Linked DNA regions of Oryzias latipes. The protein of the gene in region 1 purifies or fractionates together with the protein of each later gene. This does not show direct contact. Links are inferred from orthologs where the notes say so. Each region holds a gene or a part of one and is shown in the gene's direction. Other genes may lie near its edges.

The links.
Region 2: the proteins of srf (region 1) and myocd purify together in Homo sapiens (affinity purification with western blotting; 3 studies listed by BioGRID and IntAct, with this or other methods). This does not show direct contact. The link is inferred for Oryzias latipes from reciprocal best matches to the Homo sapiens genes SRF and MYOCD.
Region 3: the proteins of srf (region 1) and mkl1 purify together in Homo sapiens (affinity purification with western blotting; 4 studies listed by BioGRID and IntAct, with this or other methods). This does not show direct contact. The link is inferred for Oryzias latipes from reciprocal best matches to the Homo sapiens genes SRF and MRTFA.

The regions. Positions count from the first base shown.
Region 1 is NC_019873.2:29,040,327-29,050,388, forward strand, and holds the start of srf (serum response factor), read left to right. Parts: upstream 1-3,411; 5' UTR 3,412-3,757; coding exon 3,758-4,387; intron 4,388-6,262; coding exon 6,263-6,529; intron 6,530-10,062. Other genes in the region: ptk7 (inactive tyrosine-protein kinase 7), read left to right, coding at 1-139, 209-369. UniProt on the Homo sapiens protein: SRF is a transcription factor that binds to the serum response element (SRE), a short sequence of dyad symmetry located 300 bp to the 5' of the site of transcription initiation of some genes (such as FOS).
Region 2 is NC_019877.2:20,224,265-20,234,272, reverse strand, and holds the start of myocd (myocardin), read left to right. Parts: upstream 1-3,291; 5' UTR 3,292-3,649; coding exon 3,650-3,704; intron 3,705-7,027; coding exon 7,028-7,093; intron 7,094-10,008. UniProt on the Homo sapiens protein: Smooth muscle cells (SM) and cardiac muscle cells-specific transcriptional factor which uses the canonical single or multiple CArG boxes DNA sequence. Acts as a cofactor of serum response factor (SRF) with the potential to modulate SRF-target genes.
Region 3 is NC_019877.2:1,889,366-1,899,074, forward strand, and holds the start of mkl1 (MKL/myocardin-like protein 1), read left to right. Parts: upstream 1-3,500; 5' UTR 3,501-3,732; intron 3,733-3,845; exon of another isoform or gene 3,846-3,867; intron 3,868-4,267; exon of another isoform or gene 4,268-4,270; 5' UTR 4,271-4,297; coding exon 4,298-4,331; intron 4,332-8,882; coding exon 8,883-9,065; intron 9,066-9,709. Other genes in the region: uncharacterized protein LOC101163526, read left to right, coding at 1,460-1,479, 1,546-1,607, 1,728-2,125. UniProt on the Homo sapiens protein: Transcription coactivator that associates with the serum response factor (SRF) transcription factor to control expression of genes regulating the cytoskeleton during development, morphogenesis and cell migration.

The DNA.
Region 1 (10,062 bases):
TGGCTGCCGTCAGAGTCCGTCTTCGAGGACGACCTGTCCACCAAGTCGGACGTGTGGGCCTTTGGCGTGCTGATGTGGGAGGTGTTCAGTCACGGGGAAATGCCGTACTCCAAACTCGACGACGAGGAGGTTCTGGAAGGTGAGAAAAGCCGCCGGCTGTCAGAACGACCGTCCCGCTTTTTTTCTGAACCTCTTTTCGGTGCTGCAGGTCTGAAGGCGGGGAAGCTGAAGCTGCCCCCCCCAGAGGGATGCCCCTCCAAAATCTACAAGCTTATGGCGCGCTGCTGGGCGCTCGGCCCCAAGGAGCGGCCGTCCTTCACCGACATCGTCCACGTGCTGGGGGAGCTGCCGTCTGACAGCAAGGTCTGAGCAGAACCCCCCCCCTCGCGGCTGGGACACAAATGCTGGATTATGAACCGACCCGGGAGGTGGGTTGAAGAGAAAAACGACTTTATGACTCGATCCGGAGCGCGGATCAGACTCTTGATGTCAGTTAGTGTGAACGTCCCTCTGAGCTGCGCCGGAGCTCCGCCTTAAATGCAACCCCCCCCCTCCCCCCGGTGATCTGCAGCCCCTCCTGGACACAACCGCAGTGCCTCCGCCCCCCCTCCACCCCTGACCCTGTGAGGATGGACGGATGCTTCCGTTAAACCCTCCAAACTTTCAAAGTGTGTGTCTGTGTGTTTGGGGAGTGAATCACGTCTGCATGAAGGTTTGTCGTCTGTCGCTTCGCTGATCCACAACAATCCACGAGCAGAAGATCCCGTTTTATAGCCAAGGACCACAAACGGATGAGATTGTGCCAGTGTGAACTTTTCTATGTTTTTCTAATGTGGCTTTTCTATTTTGGAGGCGCTTTCTCGCCTCTGTTGACGTGCAAACACCACCATGCGGACGCCACGGCGATTCCGCCTGTCGCCAGATTTCACCCCGCGACTCAAGGGTCCAAACGAAACTCCGAGGTCCAAAAATGTGTGGCTACCACGTGGCCCGGCCCGGCACGGCCCGGCCCGGCCAAGTGTTTCTGATGCAGAAGCGGTGCACTAACTTCAGGTCACGCTCCTTCTGCTTCCCGCTGTGCAGACGGAGACGCAGGCGCCTGCTTATTTATGATGACGGTCCTGTTTCTGCAGACGGACTGTGAGCTCCTTCTCTGTTCATTCCACAGTCTGAAGGCGCCGACAACAGAAGCCAACAAATGCGGGTCACCAGAACTCCTTTAAGTGCCTGGAAAATGAAGGATTATCTTAACCAGTCCCCCCCTTTTTTTTGGGATATCTAATCAAATGCAAGTCCTTTTTTATCAACTTGTTTTTTATATATATATATGTGGATTTTAGTGTATTGTTTTTAAATGAATGCTAGGAACTCACTCCTAGACTTTGTTTTAATACGCTTCAGCAAAGGTTCACAATAATCCGATATATTCCAGACTATACAAGCTGCTGTCAATAAAGGTTCGTTGTTTTCACTCAGGTTGGTTCTCGTCTCGTTTCTCTATTGACGATATTGTCATTTTCTAATGCTCTTTTTTCTTTTCTTCAGAAAATAACAAATATTTGCTCCAACGATTTTAACAGCTGAAAAAACATTTCTTTCTGTATTATTTAAAATCTTTTGCTGTCTAAATATGAGCAGAAATGGAGTCAAAGTGCTCTTCCTGCACGCTCCAGCTCGTGGCAGAGTCGACGGCCTCTGCTCGCAGCTGCGTGGTTAAAAATAACGAGTGATGTCATGTTGGCGACACTTCTGTTCACACTCTGACACTTGAAGAGTTCTAGAAGACATAAAAAAGTATCGGGGATGTAAACAGAACATGGAAATGTGGTTCTGAGGATTCGAGTCAGAACCACAAGAGGTGGCCGTGCAGTAACCTAAACAGCCACTAGGGGGAGGTGTTTTTATGTAGAAATGGATTTAGTTTAAAAAAGAACATGGTCTCAAAAATCAGTGTTTAAGTGTTCTAACATTTCATAATTAGGTTTAATATTCATTGTTATCAAAGCTTGTGGAATTTCATAAATATTTGCCAGATAAGTTTTCAGTCATTCTTGATTATTTCTAAATCCATCCATCGTTGAGGGAAACTAGTAGCTCTTGGGCCCGTTTTGATCTTGTTTTTAAACTTTTTAAACCTATTTTTAAAAAGAAAGTTCTTTATGCTCATGTTTAAACTAATGTAGTTTCCTGTTGACTTCCATGACAAGTTTAACCTGACATATATACATATATGCACACCGTGATGATGACGATGGATTTATCCTTTAATTTCTTAGTTTGAGCTCAGATTTGTCTTTTTTTTTTTTTGATGGAACATAACTTTACTTTTTCTAAATTCCATTTTTGAAATCTTTGAAGTTCTGCTCATCATCTTCTGCCCTATTTTCAAAGTCTTCCTAGTGGCCTTTTAAAAGTGATGATGCCGTTTTTAGCCTAAAACAAATCTGTGTCGTCTTCCACCGAGGCTGTTAATGTGGAGCCACCCCGCCCCCTTTCCCATCACTGTTCTGAAAGCCTAGACCAGCTTGTGACCACCCAGCATATTTATGAATCCTTTTCAAACAGCATCTTTTCTTCTGCTCCTGATTCACAGCGATTTGAACAAAGAAATGAAATGTCAATTAGAAAAAAGCCACATTTTTTTGGGGGGGGGGGGGGGGTTCTTTAGGTTGGGTGGTGTTGGGCTGTAGCTGCTCCAGATTTGGCTGATTTAATAAAGTTTTTTTTTTTTTTTTTTTTAACAGGAACCTTTAGAATAAGAGGAATATGGTTTTGGACCAGTTTTGACCTTGAAGCTCTTTTCCATCCGTGACCTTTAGACTCAGTTTGGTGACCTCAGCTCATTGGTCCAGCCGTCATAATAAAGGTAGACCAACAGGTGAGTTTGAGGCCCGAGCAGACTGAAATAAATCACCACGCGCTTTTTGTTGTACTTTTTGTTTTTCACGTTATTTTATTGTTGGCTTGTAATGTTTTTTTTTCTACATTTGTGTTGATGGGGACAAATGTTTGAATTACAAACTGCGTAACAAAAAACTCAAATAATCTGTAACGGAAAACTTTGTGTTTTTGTTGCGCTTTTCGGCGACATGAGCGTTGACTGTGACGTTGACATCACTGCAACCATTTTGGTATTTATTCAAATGAGCTTCTATTATCGTCCAATCACTGCTTTAGTCAGATAATCTTCAACCAATCAGCAGGCGACGTTGTGACTCACCAAATAAGGAGAGACAGCACCATATAAGGAAACGTTGTATCTCTTTATAAGGAGGAAAGTAGTTCCCTGGCTCTCGTATCACTCCGCCGTGGCGATAACTTTTTAAAATGCGGGATCATTTTATGCATTTCTGATCCACGTAAACTAAATAATGTAAATAAAGCGACGCCTTCACGTTTTCGCGTGAGTACATAGGGTGTTATATTCGGCCTTTTTTTTTTTGCTCACACGGCGAACTATGTGACGCAGCGGAGTCATATCGACGGAGCTGTTCGCGCTTTCCTTTTTGAGAAAGTACGGAGAGTTTTGGAAATAGAGGAGGAGTGTGGACCGAACGGAGCCGGGTTCGCGGGTCCGGGGGCAGCGTCACTCTCAAAGTCTGGGTCACTAATGTCTCGTAGCGTCCAAATCAACTGAGCGCTTTGTTTACATTGCGTGGCCCCGGCGCGTGCGGTATATATCAGGAGGCACTCACGCAACGCCACGCTCCAGCTTCTCCAGCTGGTGTCTCGGGACTCGGTCGGTCACCTAAATATAATGTTACCCAGCCAGGCTGGATCGGTACCATCTGGAAACGGGTCCGCGTCCGGCAAGGGCAGCACCGGTCACAGTTCGGGGGTTGTCGGCGGCGGGATTCGCCCCGTCCTGGTCCGACCGGGGCTAAGCGACGGCGCGGGCGCTGCGGGGCGACACGCCGGGGACAGGGACGCGGTTGGGATGCTCGGAGCCAACGGTCCAGGCGGCTCGAGGGCCGCGAGACCGGGAAACGGGACCGGAGGGAACCCCCTGCAGGCTGCCGTACCGGGACACATGGTGGGGCTGAACGCGGGCGTCGTGCTGCCCATGGGGGCCCGGTTCGACCCGGAGCGGGTGTGCAGCGGCTCCGACAACGACTCTGAGTCCGGGGACGACGACGACCCGGTGGGGTCACTCGGGGACAGCAGGAGAGGGGTGAAGCGGGAGAGGGGGGAGATGATGGAGGCTGCGGCGGCGGGGCAGGAGGCGGGAGTCACCCCCGGAGATTACGGCATGGTGTCCGGGGGAGTCGCCGGGGCAAAGCCCGGGAAGAAGACCCGGGGGCGCGTGAAGATTAAGATGGAGTTTATAGACAACAAGTTACGGAGGTACACGACCTTCAGCAAGAGGAAGACGGGCATCATGAAGAAGGTGAGTGTGTGAGGCGCGTGCACGCTCATTGATTGATTAAGATGATTGGTTCATTGATTTGTGAGCTGACAGCTCCCTCAGAGGAGGAAAGCATGTCCAGAGTTTGGGTCTGGAAGTTCTGACATCCTCCTCAGAGGATGCAGGATCCCGGTTCTGCTTGTGACGAAGTTCACCCCACATAACTGTATGCAGCTGCATGCATGCATGCATGGAGCTGCATGCATGCATGCATGCATGGAGCTGCATGCATGCATGCATGCATGTATGCAGCTGCCACATGGCTTGCAGGCCTGCATGTGCCAACAGCTGACTAAACCCCCGGGAACCGGACCAGACGATTGCACAGACCACCGTATGGTGCACCCAGAACCAGGAGCAGAACCTCATTGAATACTCATGTTTGGTTCTTCTGCACACGGAACCGCTCTCTTAAAAACCCGATCACACAGAAATATTCTGCTGATCATCTGAAGGTCATTAGGAGCCAGATTTCATAAAAACTCCTCTTTTTTTCAGTGTGTTTTTATTTCCACAGCACCATCTAAACTGTTGTGTTTTGATGCATCCCAGACTGTTGTCGTGGAAACTGTGGTGTCTTCATGTGGGCTTTTGGCAACAATGAGGGGATGGAGATTTCTGTTGCCCACACTCCGTCAGCCCTGACAGGAGCTGACAGGTGGGTGGAGTGGGACGACTCATCGTAGCTCTGAACTTTCATTTTGACGGATCCACGTGATGCTGGAGGTTCTGTTCCTGGTCCGTAGGTGGTTCCTTCTCATGGACGTTTTGGTTTCTCCTCGGCGGCGAGCGGTGGAGTCGTTCGTGGTGAACGCCGTGTCGTTTACAGGGAGCAGGGATCTGCCGCTGGTTTTCAGTGGCCCCCAACACGGCCTGAGATAAAGTGATGGTTCGGGCTCCTGAGTTCTTTTGCTAGGACGTTTCGAGTCTTTTTGGACCCGGATGAGGCCTAAGAAAACAGCAAAGAGCCAAAGTTTTTATTTGAACTTCTTTACGTCTGTTGATGCATATATGGATCAAACCACTTTGGCTCCAAAATAACTTTATTGAGCATCAGCCTGAGAACAGCTGGCATGAATACAGGCGTTAAAGGGTTAACATATGCCTGTTATTGTACGGCAATTCTCGTTAATGGCTCCGCTTTAGTTGTGCCAAAGGAACCAATCAGGCGGAGACAGCAGCCCCCCACCCCCACCTGCAGCTACTCATATTTATGTGAAAATTGGCAGAGCGAGGAGCCCTATTAAAGGCCGCCGTCCACGCTCAGGTTGACAAATGAGTCCGTTTTTCCAGGCTGGACGTTGGCCAGACTCGGCGGTGTTGTTGAAGCGGCGCCGCGGTAGGCAGCGAGGGGAGGTGAGCGTGGAGTCACGGCGAGGAGCAGAGGGGCTGGACGATTGCTGCTCTCCACCGCTACTCTGAAGCTTTCGCCGGTTTTACAACGGCTCCATAAAGTTCTCAAATTTGAATTTGATTTGCGAGTTCTGGGGCGACGCCCCCGCCGGCGTGTGCTGAGGGGGATGGCGGCCTTCCCTGACGGTGACGGGAGCATCTTCAGGATGAGCGATGACTCTGAGGGGAGTTCAGGCTGAGTGCAGCCGTTTGGTCGGATGTGTGTGTTGGATGCAGTCTGAGTCCAAGCATCTGCTGGAAGCCATTCCTCCGTCCTCCTCGCTGGAGGGACGAGCTTCTCCTGGACTCGAACCTTTATCTTCTGCTATTTTGGTCTCTGTGGTGAAATGCATCACTTTTATTTCTGGATTTTTCTGCAGGTTGGAGTTCTGACGTTCCCGTTGAGATGTTTGAGGGCCGCGTTTCCGCTCCGGTCTTCATGTTGTGTTGTCGGTCTCGTTCCAGGCGTATGAACTGTCCACCCTCACAGGAACCCAGGTTCTGCTGCTGGTGGCCAGTGAAACGGGTCACGTCTACACCTTTGCCACCCGCAAGCTTCAGCCCATGATCACCAGCGAAACGGGCAAAGCCTTGATCCAGACGTGCCTGAACTCCCCGGACTCGCCGCCTCGGTCCGACCCCTCCATGGACCAGCGGATGAGCGCCACGGGCTTCGAGGAGACGGATCTTACCTACCAGGTGTCGGAGTCGGAGAGCATGGGCGACACGAAGGTGAGCTTCAGGAGCGAGCGGCGCCGTCTGACCCACCTCTGAGGGGGCTGTGGAGGGACGGTTCCGTGTCGTCATTTGTAATCTGAAGAGAATCGCTCCAGTCGCTGCCAAATGTGACACAAGCAGATGACATTGTTGGAGTTTTACGGACCTTAAACCTGAGAACAGCCTTTGTTCACGTTCCAGGGTTTTTACAGACGAGGTCGCCATGACGCCATCCTAAATTCAGACATGATTTCTTTCAGACTCGGTCCCAAAAAAAGGAAAAAACGAAACATTTTCGCTGCACGTTTACTTTCTAATGCGACTAAACTTCAGCAGTTTCTGAAGAAGATATGAACCAGCTGCCAAATCATCTCAACCCGACCTTTAGTTTTGGTTTAGTACTTTGGCATGTTTAGGCTTTTAAAATACACAAAAAAAGAAAAACCGGATTTACCTCCAACCTCGTCTCGTCTGCCCCATGAATTTACCCCAAACGTCTTCAAGTAGGTCAAAGCATCTTGATGGAGCTGGAAAAGTGTAAACGCCACGCGTCCCGTCTCCCGCCGCGCGTCCCGTCTCCCGCCGCGCGTCCCGTCTCCCGCCACGCGTCCCGTCTATCGGGGACAGTCAAAAGCGAGACCTGGAACTAGAACACACGATTGCGGCTGGGACGCAGTACGATTCCTGCGATGGCTGAGGTCTAAACCGGCAGGCCGACGGATCCTCCTGTGCACCTCCCCTTTGACCTCTGCCCCCAGGAGGAGCAGAGAGGTCAGAGCAGGTCTGTGGATGAAGAGCATGGCGGCGTTCTCGGAACACGTGACCCGTGCTTTACGTTCAGAACAAGAATGAATGAAATGACTTCAGAAGTCGTCTTCTCCGGCGACGCCACCCCGTGGGCAGTCAGTCGCATGCTGGAAGCGGGGACCGCCCCCTCCCCGGGTGTTTACACGGCATTGAGGACGGCCCGTTAGCCCGCATGGTGTTTTCCCAGCCGCCAGCGGAGTGTGGGGGTGCTCCTTCGGGGTGGGGGCTGAAGCCGGCGTGCGGTGCCGCTCTGAACCCCCCCCTGCTCATTGATAAAAATGAGATTCTGTCTCTGAGACCATATATGGTATGGTTTCCCTGCCTGCTCTCTTGGCTGAGGCCCCTCACATTCCTTATAAGCTGCAGCTGTCTTTGGAGTCCTGTGATTACACCCCCCGCCACCCCACCCCCAACTCCCCTCAGTGATACGGAGGGGAGGTATGGATGCAGATATGAGCGCGCGGCGTGGAAACCTCTAGACTTCCACTGCCGTGAGGGCGGAGGTCAGAGCTCTCCACCCAAAGAACGCTGGAAATGTCGGGAAGGTTGCCGCCGCCGCCATTTGGATGCTGCAGGTGGACGCGGTTCCCACTCGGCTGCACGAGCGTCTGCAGAGTCTGGATCACATCCATCATGAGAGCGGGATGTTGCGCAGACGTCCAAGCTAGTCTAAACACAACATGGTGGGGGGAGACGCCAAGAGGCTTTAAGGTGAAGGAGACTGTTGGGATGAAACCACTGATGACATCATCCTGAACTTCCAATAACACTCAAACACCAGGAAACCATGAATCCTTGGTCCAAGTTTGGTTCTGATCATCAGGTTTGGGTCTGAAGCTGCTGAAACATCTGAGAACTTGGACTGTTCCAAAGGGAAATCTATACGTGAATGTGGCAAAATGTATTTATTTTCTCTTTCCTTCCAATGTTTAAAACGTAATTATTTACATACCTTTCCAGAGATGACCTCTCTGATGCCGTGGTCATACCAGGCGTCGCATCGCTGCTCACTGATACCGCCGCACGTCCTCACAGTCGGTGCAAATCTGGTGAATGTCGCTCCAGGCTTTTTCTTTCACAGCTCTATTCCGATAAGTGAAAGACATGGCGTCGTAGAATTCCAGCCGGGAACAATATCCTCCATACGTCACCACCAAATGTATCAGTTCCCGATTGGTTACAGGTTTAACTTTCAACGAGCGTTCAATGCATTGACAGCAAATGAGAACTGAACTGGGTGACACACCACCCCCCCCCCCCCCCCCCCCCCCCCCCCGGCGTTCCAAACAGGAAGTACCTGCTAGCTCCAAGAAGCCAAAATCCCATTGACTTCCATAGAGAAATAATCAGCTGTGACTCATTCTATTGATCAGAGGAACCTTTTTTTTTCTCCAACACCTTCTTGATAATCCTCTTTTTTTCATGATACTTTTGCTGTAGTTCAAGTTATTAACTGACCGATCAGACTCCTCCAATAAAAAATTACCCCCTACCGCTTTCAGTGGTAGGGGTTGCCATAGAAATGCAGACGGATGAATCCCGGCTCACTGAGGAGGCGTGGCTCCAACATGGCGACGGACATTTTGTGGAAAAACGGCGTCTGAGTTGACTTCATTTGCTTTGACCCGGAAGAGAGTCATTTTCTGTGGACGACGTCACACGCGGTCCGTCCAGTTGTAATAATACATGGTCAATGGTTCAATGGCCGCCCATTTTGGCCGTACAACCCCAAAAACGGCCGTCCCATGCAGGCGTTTCCGAGGACGGCGTGATCATAGCTTTAGATATTTTCTGATTCCCGTTTGGCATAAAAAAGGATTCAATCACTTTTCGTTCGTTTGCAGCCTTAAAATATGTTATTGTGCTGCTTGAATGGAAGTTCTTTTGTCCTGATAGTTTTCTCCTACAAAGAGCCCCGACTATGACTCCTCCACCGCCATGCTCGACAGCTGAGGAGTCAGTAGCTGCGTTTACATGGCGTATGGTAAATGGCGTATACTTACATAGCGCTTTTCTACCCTCTTTCGAAGGCCCAAAGTGCTTTACAGTCACAGACCCATTCACCCATCCACACACACATTCACACACTGGTGGCGGCTCCGCTGCCGAACACTGGCGCCAACCTCCCACCAGAGGCAAGGTGGGGTTCAGCGTCTTGCCCAAGGACACTTCGACTCATTGGCGTGCAAGGCGGGAACTGAACCTGCAATATTACGATTATGGTTTGACCGCCATACCGCTGCACCACAGCCGCCCGTGGACAAAAGTAATCGGAAAGAACGCCTGATCGGAAGAAAAACGGCGTGAACACGCCGTTCGGAATACTCTGCTCCGGTCAGACTCGTTCGGATCAAAATTTCTTTCCGATGGAGATGGTGGGATTGTTGATCCGATCATTGTTCATGGAAACAGTTCATTCGGATCGTGTGTCACTACTGCTCTGGCTTTACGTCACGCATAGACGGAAGAGAAGGCTTTGGAGCTCAAACGGGACCGACCGGCTGCTCCGCGGACTCCTCTGCGCTCCGCCCCCGCCCCGTGGGCTCCTTACCTCTCCCTTCCTATCTTCTCTGACACCCCCCGCGATGGGGGCGCCGGGGAGGAGCGCTCCGTGCCCCCTGACGTCTGGGGTTCATCCAGGCTAAAAGCTGTCGTTAACCCGTGTTGGCCTTCACCTAACCCGCCGTCCGGCTTTGTTTTGCCACAAAAAAAGCACTGACCACACGGATTAAAAATATAAT
Region 2 (10,008 bases), on another chromosome or scaffold:
CATGTCGGGGTAAAGCTGATATGAAAAGCCGCTTTTCTCCAGGTCAGAATCAGCTGATTCACGTTGATTGTGTAAACGGTCAAAAAGTTACAATCAAAGACTATTAGAGACCGGCGCCCGTTTGCTCCGGGGAGAAAGTGGATGTGTTTGTTAGCTTGGTGGTGGAGCTGAAAACACAAAATAAACTGAAAGTTTTGAAAAACGGACTTAATCCAGAGTCTTTTAACTTCATTGACTGACCACACAATTATATAGAATAGCATTGAAATATTTTGTTTTGAGGACCCCAGGAAAGAAAGCCATAAAAGATTGTTCTAGCAATCAAAAAACATAAAAAAACAGATGAATGTGGTGGAGCTTTTTTTTTTAAGTCCTTCAGCAATGCCACGATCCACAAGTGTCAGTTTACATAAGTTATAGATCTAGCTAACAAACAGAAAATACCCTAGTATAGCTAGTAGGCTTTTTTTGTTTTGTTTTGTTTTCAAAAAATACAGCTTAACCAAAAAAGGATGTTTTGGTCTAAAATACCACATTTTAAATATCATTTTATTTGTAGAAAAACCACTTATTACCTGACATCTGTGCCACACCTTTGACGTAAATCCATATCACTCAGCCGCAAATACAAACCAATTTAACTTGCTTTGTAGGAGTAAGTTACAACAAAAGTCATCTTACAACCCTTTGTACGGAGACACAAGTCTGTAAGAAGACACCAGAAATAAAAACCTGCGTTAATGAAATAGATATCATGAGACCACCTCCAAGAGTGGTTCCTGGTCCCGGACCAGTGTCCACTTGGGTGTATTTAGACCAGAAATTTCTTCTGGGTTATTGAGGGAAACAAACTCTGTTTCACTTTAAGCGAACCAAATGTAAGACAATTTTCTTTTTAAAAATTTTTGTGAAATTATTTTTGATGAAATTATATTTTATTGTGTTAAGCAAAACTTTTTATTACAGGATGGGTGAGCCTTTTTCAACAGTTTCTCTTCTGATTGTAAATAATCAATCAGCTATTCTGGTGAACTTCCTCTGAAAAGCTACATGCTGGATATGTTTAAAACATCTAAAAGGTTTCAAATGTATTTTTTGGTTTGTTTTTATCATAAATGATAATAAAGGATTTTTTCTTACACTCTCAGGACACAAAGTCTGTTTTGTCCTGAGCTTTGTTGTTCAGACAACCCCCCCACCCCCAGAAACTTAGCGTCTTCAGCTGTGAGCATTAATCCTTTAAATCTGGTTTCAGTGAGTGAAGCACCAAAGTTCTGCTCTGTAACAAAAACAAGAACACGTTCTACTTCATCACATTTTCAGGCTGTTTATATTCTTTAAGGTTTTGTGTCAAACTTCATAAAGTCGTAAAATCTGAGAACAAAGAGCTGTTGGAGCTGTGCAGGTCCGGCTGACGTCGCTGGACTCCTGGTGGCTCCGGTTCAGGCTTCAAAGGCTTCAGGCTGGCCACAAACACCGATGGCGTCTGAGCTGCGGCAGACACAACACAGCCGATCAGCTGTTGTGTTCCTGAGCGTATCGATGAAGGCGGGGGAGTAAACACAGCGTCAGGAAGAAACGCTGGTTTTTAGGACTCAGGACAGCTTTCACTGGAATTGTCATAAACAAAGCGAGAGTTCCAAAGAGGCCTCCATTTTTCTGCTGAAAATCCTTCATACTTTACGAATCCTTAAACAGGCCGTCACTCACACAGCTGTCACTCTGTAAACCTTTTCCCTCCAGTCTGTACAGTTTCTGTGCAGCTCCAACAGACCCTGTGTTGCACTCTCATTTTAAACACCAAAGGCGTCTGCTGCAAAAGAAACGGCATCCCTGTAAATAGAGAAACGAATAACAATGCATTTCTGGAGGCTCTGAAAGCAACAGAGGGCAGGTTCATCTGTTTTACAAAGGCAATCCATGGAAGCCTTTAATCAGTAGGAATATTTGTTTTATGGAACTGGAGAAATTGGAGGTCAAAGTTCAGTTAGGTGTCATCGGTGACCAAAGAACACACGCCATCTGACGTGCCGTAACGCTTCAACTATATACGCGATCACTGTGAATCAGCGGATTGGGGCTCAGCTTATATTTGACACGCAACACTTAACGTTCCATATGCAACCTCTAAAGTCCCACTCTGATCATCTTTTGATCTGTTCTCAAAGCGTTCCCAGTGGTCTTTTCATGATAATTATGTTCTTTTTGACCCAAGAAAATCCAAAAAAAAACCTGTTGTTTCTGGGACATAGTTTCTGCAGAGCAGCAGGGGTCCTTTAGAAATTCACCTCTTAATGTGGGTGGGATTGATGGCGTGGAATAAGCCAGCGCTCATTTCCAATCAGCTCTCTGTTTACATTCTCTCCTGCTATCTTACAGCCCCTTACAACCCTGCTAACATTGGCGGTGCAACAAAAATGGCGAGCATTATCAGAGGTATCCAGCCGTGCAGTTGTGATCCAGATTCCAGCTCAGGCGAGGAAAACAAAGACATTCATGAATCTATTAGTCTATAAGTGGATGCATCAGAATAGAACTGAGCAGGGAGCTTGTGGCAAAACTTCAAGCTTTTCGAAACAGCATTTTTTCATTTGATTTATCATTATTTGAATAAGGAAAAACTCAGAAACACAGTTTTAATCTTCATTTTCTTTAGATGTGTCCTCCATTGGCAAGAAAAATGCTACAAAGGCATGTTAAAAACACGTAAAAACACTATTTTCATTGGAGGGGTTCTTTAAAGTTCAATATTTAACACCTCATGTTCGATATAAAACACTTTATCTTTAATATGCAACGGCAGGCCAAAGAATGTAACGCTGGAGCTAAAGCTCAGGTGTTAAAGGGTTAAAAAGTGAGTGCAGGGAAGATCCAGCCTAATGGAGAGCATGGAAGAAGCTCCAACCCTTGGGAATGAAAATCTTCATTTGACCTTTTTGTTGTTTCCTGAAAAGAACCAAAGTTTTTTTTATTTCAAATTTGCTGAAGACTTCTAAATTGTTTTTTGGAGCCGGAGAAGTGACTGAAAATGGGGACCAATGAGAGAAAAAGCTATGAAAAGAAAGAAAAAAAGGGGGGTTCCTAACTTTTTTTAATGTTATTGTCAGTATGCAAGCCAGAAGCTTCCCGCCCTCTTCTCTGTACCCCCCCCCCCCCACACACACACACACACACACACACAGTTGCTGTGCTCCCCTATCAGACTGCAAGTCTCTATCTTGATCTTTTTCTCGTCATCTACAGTAATCCCCTTGCCCCCCCTAATGACAGTCAGCTGGGCTGATAGGCAGATATATTTACTCTGGTGGCGCGGGAGGAAGGAGTCATCAGCCGAACCCTGCTGCGCCTCGGGCCTCGTGGGAGGGGCTTGGAGGGAACCCTGGCTGGTTGGCCCCTCCCTGAGCGGGGCATATCTGTGTGTTGTCCCTGGCGTGCTCAGAGCTCTCAGCTGGATGGGACCAAAGCCTCATCGGCCCACAGACTCACAGAGAGGAGAGGAGGCAGAAAGCGGCTCTCCACAGCTCTTTTCCTCCATGAGGCAGAGCGGGCCTCTTCTTCTTCGTCTGGGCAGCAGCGGAGGTCGCCAGGGTCAACGTCAAGGGGGCTGCTTTTTGCGACCTGCAAGCGCTGGAACTGTACTGTGAACATTATGACTCTGCTGGGCTCTGAGCACTCCATCCTCATACGAAGAAAGTTCAGATCAGGTGGGGAATCTTCCTGTTTCTGCTGTCTTTGTGGGGGGGGGCTGGCAGTGAGAGTGGCAGGTGCAGGGGGGGGGGGGGGGGGGGTGACTTCAGCTGTAATGGATTTAGATCTGGGATGTTGTCACAGGTTGCTGCACTTGTTCTCCACAACCGGCGTCCTTGCTGTGGGGAGGGGGGTTGGAATTAAACAGCCATGTGGAGGTCAGAGGTCATCTGAATGTGGATAATGGAGGGCATGCATGTGTCCTGCGCTTCAAAGAAGTCTTTTTCCGTCCCTTTTCCCTGCTCCAGCCTGTCGGCGCTGCAGTCTGACCAACACTGCCCCCTCCCTGAAGGAAGGAGGCAGGAGAAGCAGCATGGCTGCGAGCGTGGTAATTACAGAGATGGAGAGGCAAATGACGCTTTTCCTCTGAGCTGCTCGGAACGACCGGAAAGCGGCATCTGTGCTGGGGGGGGGCATGAGACGGTGGCTACCAGACTGTGTTGCTGTAACCCGGGCACCCCTAACGCGCCACAGATGCAGTGTGCAGCCTGATGTTTCAGTCACACGGCCGATAACAACCAGCGAGCTGATTCATGAGAGCATGGGTGAAGCCACGAGGGGGTGTCAGAGAAGTGAGGTCCCCCGCGATTACTGCTGATGACAGACAGGGAGGGTGTGGGACAGTCCTCTTAAAGCTGGAGCTCCCCCGACAAAAGGCGCCTTCTCGCCTCCGCCCCAGGAGAGGATAAAGATAAACTTCTCCTTCAGGAGCTCCTCCGTCTTCTGCTGCGCTGAGCTCAAACTCCATGACGGAGTCTTAAAGACCCACTCTGGTGAAAGCTTGTGGCTTTTTTTTTTTTTTTGATAATGGAGGACATATATATATAAAGGAAATTAATCTTAAAACTGCATTTCTGACTATTTCTTTAGTCAAATTGTCATAATTAAGGAGCAGACCAAAAAAAAGTCAGCTGTAAAATTATCATATTTTTTTAGTAGAAAATGCAGATGGGGCCAGAAACTTCCCGCTCCTCTCCATTCTGATGCATCCACTTCCAGACAAATAGATCCATTTCTGTCTTTGTTTTCCTCGTCAGAGCTGGTGTCTGGATCTAAACTGTGAGGCTGAATGGCTCCGATATTTGAGGCCATTTTTGTTGCCATGGTAATGTTAGGTTGGGGTTGTGAGGGGCTGTAAGATAGCGGGAGAGCTTGTAAACAGAGAGCTCTCAGTAACGGGGAGGGGAAGTGGGAGCGGGGTTGCTCTGGGCCATCGGCCACAACTCGGAGGTGAATTCTCATTTTTATGTAAGAATCACATGCTTTTTACAGAAAATGTTTAACGTGAGGAGGTAGTATAAAATGTGACACTGACGATGAATTTTTACCTGGCAAAGATAAAACCTACAACTTTATTTGTCTGATTTTAACCAAACCAACTCCATCCATCCATCTTCAGAGCCCACTAATCCCTTTCAGGGTGACGGGGTTGTTGGAGTCAACCAAGCTGCTGGGTGAAGGCGGGCTACACCTTAAACAGGTCACCAGTCCACTGCAGGGCGCCAAACCAACCTAAAATACAGATTTCAATGATGTCGCAAAAGGATTTGATTATCCTTTTTATGATCTTCAAAGAATTCTACAGCAAATCAATCTGCAAATAGTACACAAGAAAAACAACTATTTATTAGGAGTTAAATGAAAATTAAGCTTTAGAAACTATCAAATCTGTATGAATGTTTCGTTTTTCCAGGGCATAAGTCCAGTCAGCGCTTTAGGCTGCATTACTGGCTTTTATAAAATGCACCAAACAATTTACACTGCAGGCTAAAGCAGCAGGAGGAGCAGCTCCGCATGGCAAAAACTGAATCTTATGAACATAATAAAAAAAGATTTTAAGACAAAATATCTCATTTTGTCTTAAAAGAAAAATAATCTTCTATCCAGAAAGTTTTTCAGTAGCAGAATAATCTGAGTTTGAGAAAACGTGAGAAAAACTTTTTTCTTGGGATAAGAGTTCTGGTTAAGAGCATTTTTCAACCTATTGGAAATTTTGCTTGTTTTAAGAAAATTAATCACATTTGTGACACATTTTCTGAAGGCGTTTTTAAAATGCACTGAGAACCAACGACCAAGCAGCTTTAGAAGGTTCTTGGAGATCCTGTTCACCGACCAGCGCAAGAAAACACACAACGACGATGCAACCAACCCAGGACAGGACAGAGAGGAAGCCCTTTCAAAACAGAAAAAAGAGGGAGAATTCTCAGCTGTCTCCAAACTTTTTCCTGGTTTCAAAGGGTAAAAGGGGAGGCAGCGCTCCTTCAGAGCATCCCCTCCCTGGTTTGTGTTCACGGCGGTGGCGTGAGGCCGTACCTCACACACGCTGTAAATCTGAGCTCTTGTAAATGTGACGGTCGGCTCGTGCCCTTTGTTCTCCTGCTGGAACCAGCGTTTTAGGTTTCCGAGCCAGGCTTTGGGTTATTAATAACCTGTCAGTAAAAAGCACAGTTTTTTTTAAAAAGCGTGAGTCAGAAGCTGCTGCGTGAAGAAGAATGAGGCTTCTACCTGGCAGCAATCTAACCTCAGCAGAATCCAGGAACGCTGTAGTTTGGAATTTTTTCCATGGATTCTTCCAGCTTTTTGTCCTGGACAGAAGCTCCTGCAGCTTCATGAAGATGACAGAAAACTTTGACCTCATCGCAATCTTGCTGCTGGATGCACCCCCCCCCCCCCAGCTCAGTGTAAACTAAAGCAGATGTGGGATGCAGGGAAGGGTCTGCAGTTACATAATGGAGGTGCTGATGGGACTGTACACCCCCCCCCCCCCCCCCCGTTTGTGTCATTGGACGAAAACCACCTGAGCGTCTTCATCAGCAGGGCAGCGATGTGCGGTGGGGGGGGGGGCACATTTTGTCCTCATGCGTCAGATTCACAATCAGACCAGGAGACCTTCAGATAAAAGTGGGGGGGGGGGGGCGCAGAAGAGACACAAGCAGAGGCACAGACATGGAGGAGGCTCTGTGTTTATAACCCCCCGCTCCCACACACACACACACACAGCACGGGGGAGCACGTGCACGTGGACCACACACCGGACGGCAGATCTGTTTAAAAGCCAGGAGCTGTGTTTATCGGCCCCTACATCCTGCTCTGAACATTTAGGAGATCTTCTGTGGCGGAGAACATGCCGGTGGAATCACCGCACATCAGCCTCGGCCTTTCGGGTTGGGATGTAGTCGGGGAGTGGGGGCTTCAGTCATGTGTTGCTCTGAAACTGCTGGTTCTGGTCCCTCACCTGCCTCTCCATGTCTCTTTTCCCTCCTCTTCCTTCAAACTTTAGTGTTACAGTTCAGACTTCAGCAGAGGAGGGCACGAGAGCAGCTGGTAGACCAGGGCATCATGCCTCGTGAGTACCACCCCTTCCCCCCCCCCAGAGCTGCCACACACACACACACATACACACACGCACACTCGCCTTCAGGGAGGCTGAGGGGAGTATCTGTAGGAAGTATCCCCCAATTAGCAGTGAGATAGGGAGGTGAAAGGTCAGCTCTCCTCTCTGTCTGGTCCTGATTATCGGCAGCGTGTTCGGATTTCCCGAAGACAAATGAAAACAACTTCAAACTGGAGCTCCAACCTTATGTTACTCCAACGATAATCTAATAAAGATGCAGGTCACACGACCTGTGTTTTAGCATAACAGAGCTTTTATAACAAACAGAGACCTCTAGTGTTTAAAGTTAGGAAATGCGTGTAATGCTCGAAAGAATCAGACCCCACTTCTTATCCTAACATGTCTACAGTATTTATACATTTCTCTTAACTCCTAAAGTTTATCTTTATCCTCTGTAACATATCTGCAGCTGATTTAAACTTTATGTGTACACTAGATTTCTTGTAAGAACCATTAAAATGTAATATCAATTTTTTCAAAGTGGAAGCTAAAAATCAGACACCATCTTCAACTTCGTGCAAATTCAAAGGTGTGACGGTTAAATAAAATAAATAGAATTTACAATTCTAAATACGCTTTTTTAAAACGTACATTTTTAAATATAATAATAAACGTGAATTCACAACTGTCGAAAAGAATCCACATTTGGAGGAAAGACTGCTGGTTTTTGTCTGTTAAATTTTTAAGTTTTCTTTCATTTTGAAGTTGAAGGCAAAAAGAAACTTTCCAAAAAACGTTCGTTTTTTTGTTAAGCTTTGCAAACCTGGGGACTTTCAGTTTAGCGGTAGTGAATGGATTTTGGACACGTGACAGAGCGACTTGACATGCGTCAAGAATGAGTTGGATGTGGTGAAAAATCCAGTAGTTTTTCAAAATAAAACTTCAAATGAAAAATGAAACAGAGAAAAATGTAAGTAATGCTTTTATTCTCTGCGGCCCGGTACCAAGTGTCCGGTACTGGTCGGTACTGGCCCGCGGCTCGGGAGGACCACTGATGATGACATGAAATGAGAATTTGTATTGCTCTCACCCCGTCGCAGCTTTTTACTGCTAAACTTACAAAGAAAGGTTTTATGTCAGTGTGAAGGAAAGTTTGCCTTCAGTGATGATTCTTCATGGTGCTCTTATTCTGTTTAATTCCATCAGTCAGGGAAAAAAGAAAAGAAATTCAAACATACTTTACATTCATGTGACAACGACAGTTTCATATTTTATGAAATAATAAGTGGAGAGAAACATCCTGGGATAATTGTATGGTGTGTGTTACCATGGCAACATGTCCCGCTGCATCAGCATCAAGTGAAATGGGATTTTTGATGCTCCAGGAGTTAGAAAATGTATAGAGATGAATTCTAACAGGCAGTTATCTCATATGAATGTGCGTCAATTATGGGTACACAACTTTTCCACCAACCATAAATGAGATTTTCACCAAGGAAGCACAAGTCTGAAGGATTATGTAGCCCCAGAAGGAGGAAAAGTATATATTTTGGTGGATTTTTCTTATGTTTTGTCAGATCAGACAGACGTGCAGAGAGTTCAGGGTCTGTGACTGACCGCTCAGGAATGCTGCAGCTCTGAGCAGACTCAGCAGCTGATTGGCTCTTAGAGAGCATACCTGTTTACAGCACGGCACTGCATCAAAGCGCAGACACGCCCACACAAGTGGAAGTGCAGCTTGAGCTGGTATTTACCAGGGGAGGCGTTCTCCTAAAACAAGAACACTCCTGGGATTTATGGTGTCCTCTGATGAGAGTGGCCGGGGCCGCCAGCACGCGACACGTGACAATTGAACTCTCCATCTTCACGAGAATGCAGCATGACATGTTGCAGCGTTTTAAAGAAGTGAGTCACGATTTTTGAAGCAGCAGGAAAAACGGATGAGTTTCAGGTTTTTCTGTGGGTTCCTGCCTGCAGGAGGAACACGGACACTGCTTCAGCAGGGCTTTGTTCAGGGATATCTCTGGCACCGTTTGCCATTTCACAGAGGCTCTGGCGTCCAGATAAATGCTGTAAGGTGCGGTTGAACGGAATCCAGAGGCCAGCGAGACCCTATCAGTTCCTCAGAGTCTGCCACAGATATAGCAGCAGAGAGAAACATGTTTGGTGGACAGGAAACCAACTTTAAAAGAAAGACGCTTGTACTGGCTGTTAATGCCTGGACAGCTGCGGTGCAAAGGTGGAAAAGAGTCTGCGGGGACTTTCTCTGGAACACCCGCCCTCCTGCTCACATTTACACCCCAAAAGTGACAGGTTCCGATGGAGACGCAGCATCCTGCTCCTCCTGCTGCCGATGCTGGCCCTGCCTGCTGGTGTTTGTGCTGCTGCAGGCGTCCGCGGTGTATATATTACCCGGGAACATCTGGTGTTTATTAGACTGTGGAAGAATCCGCCCTGCCCCGCCAGCCTGACTGCCGTGTGGCCTGCAGAGGAGTCCACGCACAAATGTTTCCTCAGGAAGATAACAGAGTTGTATCGCTGTGCTTTAAGGTGCCCCCCTCCCCCCTATCGTACAATCATGCTTGAAGCTATTTCTGCTGTGACAGAGTGAAGGATGTTGGGAGTTATATTCTGCCCTCACAGGCTGGGTTCCAGGGAGTCTCACTCTCCTTTAGTTCTCTGGTTTTCACCATTGACTGTATGTGAGAATTGGACTGAGTGACCCCTCCCCCCCCCCCTGGCGTTACAAACAGGAAGTACCTGCTGGCTCCAAGAAGCCAAAATCCAACAGACTCAAATAGAAAAAGAAACAGCCATTGCTCCATCATTCTTTTGGTCAGAGTAACCATTCCTGATCTGCTACTTTTTCTTAACATCTTCTCAATAATCCTAAATTATCAATAATCCACCTAAAAGTAGGTTGTCTT
Region 3 (9,709 bases), on another chromosome or scaffold:
TGTTTGGAAACTAATGAAATCTGAGTCTTTGTGCTTTGGCGTCCTTTAAATGGCGTTCTAGTCTCATTGCTATGTGCTTCAGAGAGTTTTTCTCTGCCATTACAGTAAAACTGTTGCTCTAAACTTCCTCACAATTATCTTTAGAGCAGAAATTACAGCTGATCAGATTTTACGTAACAAATGCTCAAAGTCATTTCTATGTGGCTCTGCGATAGATGGATGGATGGATGGATGGATGGATGGATGGATGGATGGATGGATGGATGGATGGATGGATGGATGGATGGATGGATGGATGGATGGATGGATGGAGGGAGGGAGAGTGGGAGGAAGCAAGGGACAGACGGATGGATGGATGGATGGAGGGAGGGAGAGTGGGAGGAAGCAAGGGACAGACGGATGGATGGATGGATGAAAAGAAGGACGGGCGGACCAACAGGCACATGGACGGACAGACGAATGAACGGACGGATGGATGGGTGTTTCTTTTGGAAGAAATGTTCCTTTTGGCAACACTGAATAGATCAAAGCAGCTCTGTTTAAAGAACATCTTTGGTCCTACAATACATCAAGGTTTCTCTTAATATGAAGATCTAAATTATGTAAAAAATAAACTTTATATTAATTCAGGGAGAATTCTTCAGGTCAAAGCATCAACTCCCATTCCAGCGAAATTAAAATGCTATTTTTGGAGTCAGCTTAGCTTTTAATCATTTAGACATGATTGTAGGCTGGTAAATCAAATCACATAACAGTGTTAAACTGAAAAAAAGCAGAGTGTCATCTGCATAGAAACATAAAGTAATCTGTGCTGCCAAAAAGCCCAATGGAAGTATGTAAAAACAAAGTAGTATCAGTCCCAGCTCAGAGCTCTGTTGCACGCCATAAGTAAATGAGGAACGCTTACTATTTATGCAGACGAACTGAAAATGTGTCAAATTAAAATCACTGAAAGCAGCTTAATCTAGTTTCTGAAAACCAATCTCTGAATCTGGAATCTGCTTTAATATTTGATATGAATTCATTACATTTTTAAATGTTTTCAAAATAAAAGTTAATTTAGGATCTTAGACTGTAAAGTGAAAGTGTTACCACACATTGAACCACAAACTTTTCCTTATAGAAATAAAAAGATTTATTTATTAAACAGACGAACACGTCAGTAAACACATTCGTTTTTTCTATTTTCAATCTACTTGATCCATAAGAAGAAAAAAGAAACAGAGAAGCAAACCACAGAGAGTTACATCAACCCATCAGTCAGTGCTGCCAGCGTTTCCATCAATTATTAGCGTCATGCTGGCAGTTCACCTGGGGCACCAGGTGAGACTCATTAGGTTAATTCAATCAGGTGGCACTCCACTGAAAGAGATCCACGACCACAGAACAGTTTAAATACGGAGCCTCAGAAACTGAAGGGAAGATTCTTGTCTTCACTTTGTCCTTCCAAACTGCTAAGATGGTTCAGAGTGTGGTGAAGTAAGTTCTGCTCTGGTTTGTTTGGGGTACTGTTGGTTCTGGATTTACTGAGGTTCTTCTCTACAGGATTTCTTTGGTTGGCCTTTTGTTCTTCAGCTTTGGTGCTTGTTATCCCCCCAGAAAAGCAGGTACAGATGTTTGTCTTTGGCTGAACTCTGGTGTAATGAAGCTGAAGGCTCATTGAAATTCTCCTGAAACTTTTTTTTTTTTTTTTTTTTTTTTTTTTTTTTTTTTTTTTTTTTTGTTAGTAGGTTCAGGTCAGACCGGGATGGGCTTCGACGGGTCCACTTACAGCAGTGGTGGCGCTATCTCCCAATTTGGTGGTTCTGGCCGTGGATCAAATGTGGTCTTCAATGAGCAGGATGCAGGACTGGGACAGATCGCTGAAGACGCCATGAGCTACAAACCTGAGCGTCCTTTCCCACGCTTCGCCTGGACCCCTGACCAGGTTCCCCTGGGCATGGTGGAGCAGCGCCCGCTGTACCCCTCATCCCACATCGTCCGCGTCAGCAGCGGGTATCAGCGAGCACGGGACTTCCGCTCCGACGCCAAATACACTCAGGATATCTTTGACCACATTCCTCTGCTGGATACTGGAAAGGGGAACTTTCCAATGACTGACTCCAAAGGACACAAGGCCTACTGAGGTACTTCAACTAAAATACTGACTATTTAAGACATGAGCTTTAACCTAACATTCTCTTTACAGGTGAGAACAACTCAGCTCAACAACTTCAACTCATGATGTTGCAATCTTATCCTATCCTAAGTTTGTTTCTATTTCTCCAATAAAATGGACTGACTTGGATTTCTGAGGTTTTTCTTTTGGGAAGCTCCTGGAAAGTGGTCTTTTGTGACAAACCTGCTGTGCAGGTCAAAAGCTACACTTAATTCAGATGTATACCTTTGTCATTCAAGCTGGCATCTGCACAGCAGAGTTTGCGAACCATATTGCACCAGTGGTGCTGTCCTCGACACACTGGGCATGTGTTGTACAATCAAGATCATGAAATGTGTGGTTTCATAAGTGCACTTTCGGCATACAGAGTTGCACTGGACAAGCAAGTACCACCTGCAGTCAACAGGTTTGCTCCTGGGTTTTACTTGCACATAATTCTTGATACCAGAGACTCGTTAATGCCGGCTGGGCACTAACGTGCTTTGTAAAGGATGCTATGCCTTCCCCAAATCCAGCTCCCTGATCGGTTAAAGTTTAAATGGCTAAACTTTAACAGCTGATTTGTATGTAGAGCCCAAAAACAAATTTCAAAAATTGTGTCAATGTGAGGCTATAAGCTAGCAGAGCATATAAACAGCTCGTTCACACAACTCTGAGGCAAATTAGTTGCTGCTGCTCTGCAGAAACTCCTTTGTATAAAACAGGCAGGGGCAATGCCATGGTGGCTGGAGGTTGCCATAGTAACCCCAAATGTATCAAAGCCTAAATTGAGTTTTTTTTTTTTTTTTTTTTTTTTTTTTTGGCCATGTATCATTTCTCATTTTAAAATGTGACAACCACCCTGAAGACAGTTGGCCAAGTAAGCAGTAGCAACGGAGGGTGCTCGTTCTGCAAAACTGGATGTAATCTCTAATTTAAAAAATTCAAAGGGTTTTATAAACGTGAATTAATGGATGGCCAACGCTGAACAATCCAGAGCCGCCCTTAAACACTATCTGAATTTTATTTAGGATAAAGCCGGCAAAATCAGTGGGACTTAGATACTCAACCCTTGTGCTATCCTAGGCACTTTAACGTTGGAGTTGGGTCATCTAGACCCACTAGACGGTGCTCTGAACCTTTTTTTTTTTCTTCAATGATTTGAGATCTTCACTGGTGTCCATGGATTACATGAAATCTGTCCACCTTTGTCATGGTAGGGAGAACACGTCAATGGGTGGGGTCATCTAAGATAGCACAAGGGTTAAATAGGGAACCTGTAGTGCCTCCACCTTGTCACTAGAGGGAGACAAACACCAATCAAGAAGCACTTCTCTGAATCAGTTTTGTTTTCTCCACCCTTTATGTTGGTAATTCTCCAATGGTTTGTTTTTATTTATCGGTCCGCGCGGACAGCGTGTGCCGCAGCAGCAGTGCTGTAACCGTCCGGTGACGTCGTGGAGGAAGTGGGTCTCCCTGAGTCCCACAGAGAAGGAGGGTTTTCCGGTTAAAGTTTCCTTTGTGACTCGGAAGTAGCGCTGTAATGCTGAGGCCGTTTGTCACCAGACGCAGCGCGCAAGTGGCGACGATGACAAGTGAGCACGAGCCTGTGAACTGCGCAGAAATGTCTGCTTTGTTTTTGAGCGCGAAGGGGACAGAAAAAGAGCTCGTGCGCGGCTAGTGCTAATGCGCAGCTGCTGTGGTATGCTAGCAGCGAGCTAAATTGGGGTGTAAGCAGGAAAACATGTCATGTTTTGTTTACTTTACAACCTCTTTCGACTCAAAGTGTGTATTTGTAGCCACCGATCACTTTTGTGTTTACTTGGGAGTTTTTGTGCCACTTTGCTTGGCTGTTGGGGTGAAAATTAGCTTGAATGTTCCGTTAAACTCCAAGCCAGACACGCTAGCATTAGCTTAGCGTGAATGTCTGTTTTGGACAGTGACAGCTGTCGGCTCCCCGGCATCTGTGCAGACTCTCGGTGCCTAGGCCCCCCACACACATTTATTTTGCTTTTGCCATTTCAGACATTTCTGCAACCTCCATGATCATCCAGGGTGATTGTACTGTTGCTAACTTTGCGGATGTTTTATTTATTTTTGGACGCATCTCCTCTTGTTTTTCCTCCTCAGCAGCGCCACTGGAATTGCTGCCCTGCTGAAATGGCAACACCCCCCTCAGCTTGTCCAAACACAGGTAAGCAGCGAGGCTGATCTCTGTTGATTGCACGGGCACGTGCAGACACCGTCCTTCACCTGAACTGAGAGGGTGTTCCAGGCAGTTCGTGGTAGTGTCTTTCTTGGACTTCTATTGCGAGGAAGCAAAACTGTCGGGACCTGCATGTTGTGATGTGTAGCAGTTCTTGGAGGCAGGTGTGGACATACCTTTTGTGGGCATGTGGGTCTTCCTCCTTTGTCATTTTTATTTTATCTCAGCTCAACACAGAACACTGTTGGATTTTGTTTACTTCTCGCCTTTAACTGCAAATAACTTCATATCATTTAAACCTCAAACAAATATGGAATGGATCAGCCTTTCAGTAGAAACAACCAGCCACGTTTTTCTAATGCCCAGAGAGAAAATTCGGTGAGCAAAGATGACAGGACTTTCTATTCTGAACACAAAAATAAAAAAAAGAGGGTCAATAAAAGACCTAAAATATTTTACGTCTTAATGATTGAGAATAGTGGAGGTATTGGTAGTCACAGGTATCAATATGGAGGTTTTTCTTGTTGTCTTCTAGATTCTACATCCTCCCTATCTATGATCCAAACACAGGACATTATTCAGGTGCTTTAGCAATTTGTAATATATTTTTTAAATCTGCCAATTAATGTAATTCCAAGCTTTGTTCCTGCCACATGCAGTTTATTATTCAGTACTAAAGGCTTTAGGCCGTTGGCGCTCCTTACTGCGCTCATTGACATAACTCTTCACGATGTGTCTGTGCCTTATGTCACGTTTCCTCAGTGTTTAGGGCAGGGGTCGGGAACCTATGGCTCGCGAGCCATATATGGCTCTTTTGATGGTCACATGTGGCTCGCAGACAAATCTTTAATTATAGTTTTTTTTTTTTTCATTAGACCAGTCCTCGGGCGCGATGCGATGCCAGAAGCGCGCAGTAGTAGCGGTGCTTAGAGAGAGAAATCTGCGCCAGCGCTATCAGTTACTATTATCTATTATTTCACAGAGTTTGTACCAGCTGGAAACTTGTGAATTGACGTGCCTAAAACTACGCGCTCCCGTCTCTGAGAAAGAGCGCGCAGATGCGGGGACGGGATGTGTGAGGGAGAAAGCAGAGGGTGGGGGTGAGGGGTTGTGGGGACAGGCAGCAGGTGAATTGCGCAGGGATTGTAAAAACGTAAAACCCGCTGCCTGTCACTCACTGCGGCGTGTGAGTGTGTGTTTAACTCCAGGTCTGCATGTGAGCAGTCTGTCTCACATCTACAGAACATTCAGACCTACGATCACGTTTAAAGTCTCAACGCCTGAACGAAGCAGAAACTCACCACGTATCAACCAGACTAGACCATCAGCAAAACTACCACGAGAAATACTCATCATTTATTAGCAACAGCATAACAATGTTATTAAAAAGAATCCACAGACTTATTGTACTTTAAAAATGTTGAAATTAAATCAAATGCACACATTCACTTGTATATTTAGTTTTAAACAAATTGTCGCGGACTGAGTTGGATGGCTGTTGGGCCGCGTTAAAAGTTCTGGAGTTCATTGAACGCGTCAAGCAGAGATCTGATTGGCTCTCAGTTCTGTCGCTCAGCCTGTTGTTAGGTAGTTTGGACCAATGGGGTTCAGCTATGGGCCGAATAAGGGAAATGGGAGGGGCTGCAGCGGTAGCAGGGGAATATAAAGTTGGGAGAAGCGCACTCGTCTCGGCGGGAGAGATTCAGGAGTTGCTGAATTAATTGTACGGCGTTTGTTGCGGTCTGCAGTAATCGGAATAAAGAACTTTAAAAGAGGTTAAGTCTCCGTGCCTCAGTGTGGGAAAGGGACACTACATTATTGTATGGCTCTTTCGAAATTACATTTCAAAATATGTGGCATTTATGGCTCTCTTGGCCAAAAAGGTTCCCGACCCCTGGTTTAGGGGATGGTTTTGGGGACTTCAATCACCTTTCATGAAGCTGTAAAAAAACAATACGAAGTCATGAAAAAGCTGCCGTTGACTCGACAAAAGTCCGGATAAGTCAACTGTACCTTGGCTCAAATCGAAATCCAAGTATAAGCTCTCCCAGAATGCACTGCGGCACATATATCAACACTTTAAAGTCATTAAATCATGAAGGTCTGACCAGACACCAAGTGTCCACATGCAAGAAGGATGGAAATATGAGGCCTTATGGTTTAACGCAGGGATCTGCAACCTGTACCACTCAAAGAGCCATTGTGAAAGCACAGGGAGCCGCAACACTAGGGTTGTTAGAAAAAAATCATTTTGCCGAAATATCGCGATAGTTCATTTGGCGATACTTGTATTGATTCAAAATGCTGTCAGGATATTTATTTACTTATTTATGAGCGTTATGTTTCCTTTGATCTTTTGTCCATTTAACACAACCTTGAATAGGCTTTTCTGTCTGTCTAGCCAAATCCAGTAAACCCAATAAAGTATATTAATTTTACGGATGAGACTTTATTTTTTATTAGGAAGCAGCTTTTAGTTTGTTGCGGGTCTGGAATCATAAGCGGTGAGTCTAAGCCCCGCCCCCGCCTATCTACCTGTTCACACTTCTGCAGCTCCAAGTTGTTCTCCCCTGCGTGCTAACCCCCCCCCCCCCCCCCCCCCCCCTCCTTCCAGTGTGTTCTACACAGAGCAACATACGGTCAACGTAGCAGCACGGTGACAGGATAGTGGGGGCGCCCTGACGCAAACTTAATTAATTTTAGGCGTCAATGGGTGGTTTTAGTCTAGGGGCTTGTGGCAGGGTCATTTCTGTCTGCAGACATTCAGGGTAAACCCAACACGCTGAGTAGATCTTCATTTGGCAGAAGCTGAGGTAGATTAACGGGAAATCAGCTGTTGGGCCCATGCAAAGCCTCTCGTACCTTAGCATGTAAATGTGAGGATTTATGAGGCGTGCCGGTCTGAGCGACCGTTCTCTCATGTTTCAAGTGAAATAGTTCTATGTTGTGACTAAAGTTTGGAACACCACAGCTGGACATCGATCTTTTCGTTAGTCCTTATTTTAAACACATTATTGGGGATTTAATGTACCAACTTTCCTGTCTTTCACATCAGCATATTGTTAGCGAATGATAAGCTAATATCTGAAGAATTGATGTTGGCATTTTAATATTTTGTTGCTACCATGTTGAATTAGATCAACTTTTGATCTGTGTTCAAAGTTTTTCTAGTGGTCATTTAACTACGATTATGCAGGTTTTTTTGCCAAAACTAAGAAGAAACCTGTCATTTTCTAGGACATGGTTTCTGCAGAGCGGCAGCAGTTTATTAGAAATTCACCTCTTAGTTGTGGGTCTGTTGGCGTGGGGCAATCCCACTCCCACTTCTCATCACATATTAAAAACACCATTTACATCGGAGTTGATCTTTAAGCTAAGCAACTAGAACTCTTAAGTTAAGGTTATACATTTGCAGTTATGTCCGTTTACGCCTGCAGGTCTCCAGGTGTTGGGGCTAAAACTTCTGTGCAAATAAAAACCCATTTTGATGATCTACAGCTTGATATTCACCATAATTCACTCCAAACAGATGTGATTAGCTGAAACACAGTTAGTTTAACTTTAAGAGGCCTCCACTAATTAAGGTCTGTTTGAAAATCAAGCTTAAAATCTATAAACGTTAGAACTGAAACAGCTTCTACAGCAACAGTTGTTAAAGCTCGAACATGCTAATTCTTCCCAGATGGCTTTTTTAATCTCTGACCTGCAGCCGCGCATTCTTCGTCTCCTGCAGCTGCTGAGAGCAGAAAGAGAAGGTCTGTTTCCAGGAGCTGCAGCCGCTTTTTGAAGTCCGCAACAGTCCGGAGAACTTATCATACTGCCGAAAACCATCTCTGATTTGGCTAAACCTTCTGTTTGTCTTTATCTGATTCCATGGTGGAACCTTTGGCTTCTTTTTGGAGGTTGAATAAAGTGTATTGCATGAGCAGCAACTTTCACATCTTGTCCCAAATAATTGCGTTTCCTTAATGAGACACTTCCATGTGAACATCTGATCCTTCTAGACTTCTTTTGTTTTTTTGGTCTTTTGGCTAAGCCCTCGTGAGGAAGCTGCCACAGAGATGGAAGTGGGATGGGGTTGTAGTGGAGGATTTCCTACGGATGCGACTGGACTGAGACGAAGCAGCTCGACCTCTCACAGCCTGGAGCGCTGATCATCTTAGCTGCTATCAAGTCACATAAAAACTGGGATTTTATTTAAAATATTTACATCCAGAAACACTTTACAGCAGAAATCCACCTTAGACAAAAAACGCAAACAAAATAAACAGTGTTTTTGTTAACTAAATAGCAGATTGTAAAAAGTTTTCCCGTAATAGTGTAAAAAAAATGTGCCTGTCTCATAATATTGTGGTCCAATAATGACGTTTTCCACAAAATATGATAAATAACATGTAAACTTTATTGTCTTGTTGCTGCAACACGTAACTTTTTCAAAACGAGTCATTCATTTGGTGAGAATGAAAATAGTCACCAGATTGCTGGGGAAAGTGGTAAATCTATTGTTCTGTACTGACACAGGTCACTCTATACGTCCAGGTCTGTCAGTCGCCATAACAGTAGACTCCCACGGACGGAGGGATTCTGGTTCTGGCACAATGGAAGTCGTCGGACCTCCAGGATCGGCCCTGAGCCCTCAGAGTGAAGCCGTGACCAACGAGCTTCAGGAGCTGACTCTGCAACCGGCGCCCAACCTGCCGCCCTTAAAGGAACGCAAGAACGGTGAGTCCTCTGAGTTCTCCCAGCTGGCTGGTTTTTGGACGGATGTCGGTGCAGATGCTGCAGACCGCCGTCATTTGGAAAGCAGATTGACCTTTTGAGCTTTGAATTGAAATGGCCAATAAACAATAATTATGTATAAGTAAAGTCCTTCAAGGATTTCCATGTATTTATCTGTTCTGACAAGTTTGCAAACCTAAACAAACATCTTCTCTCAGCTTCCGGAATAAAACTAATTTGCATCGTTTCAAGCTTTTTAACCCAAATATGCTTGAATATGGAAGCATTTGTGAGGCATTATTAAAAATAAAAGTCAAAACCAGAAATGCTTTTTCATTCAAATGAAAAAGCAATCCGCCAAAATGCTTTTTCATTTTCTACTTAAAAACCGCTTATTCTATGTCATAATTAAAATGATAATGAAAATGGTATTTGACATTTCATTTTCAAAAAGTTCTCTGGTAAATGTGTAGCATAATTCATTTAGAAATGTCTAATTTGACAATTAAAATGAATTAACAGAAATGATTTTTAATTTTCTAAATGTAACTGCATCAAATGACTCAAAACTAAAATGAAAAATCAATCCTTCAAAATGATTTTTCATTTTCTTCTTCAACACCGCTTATTCTGTGTCATAATTAACA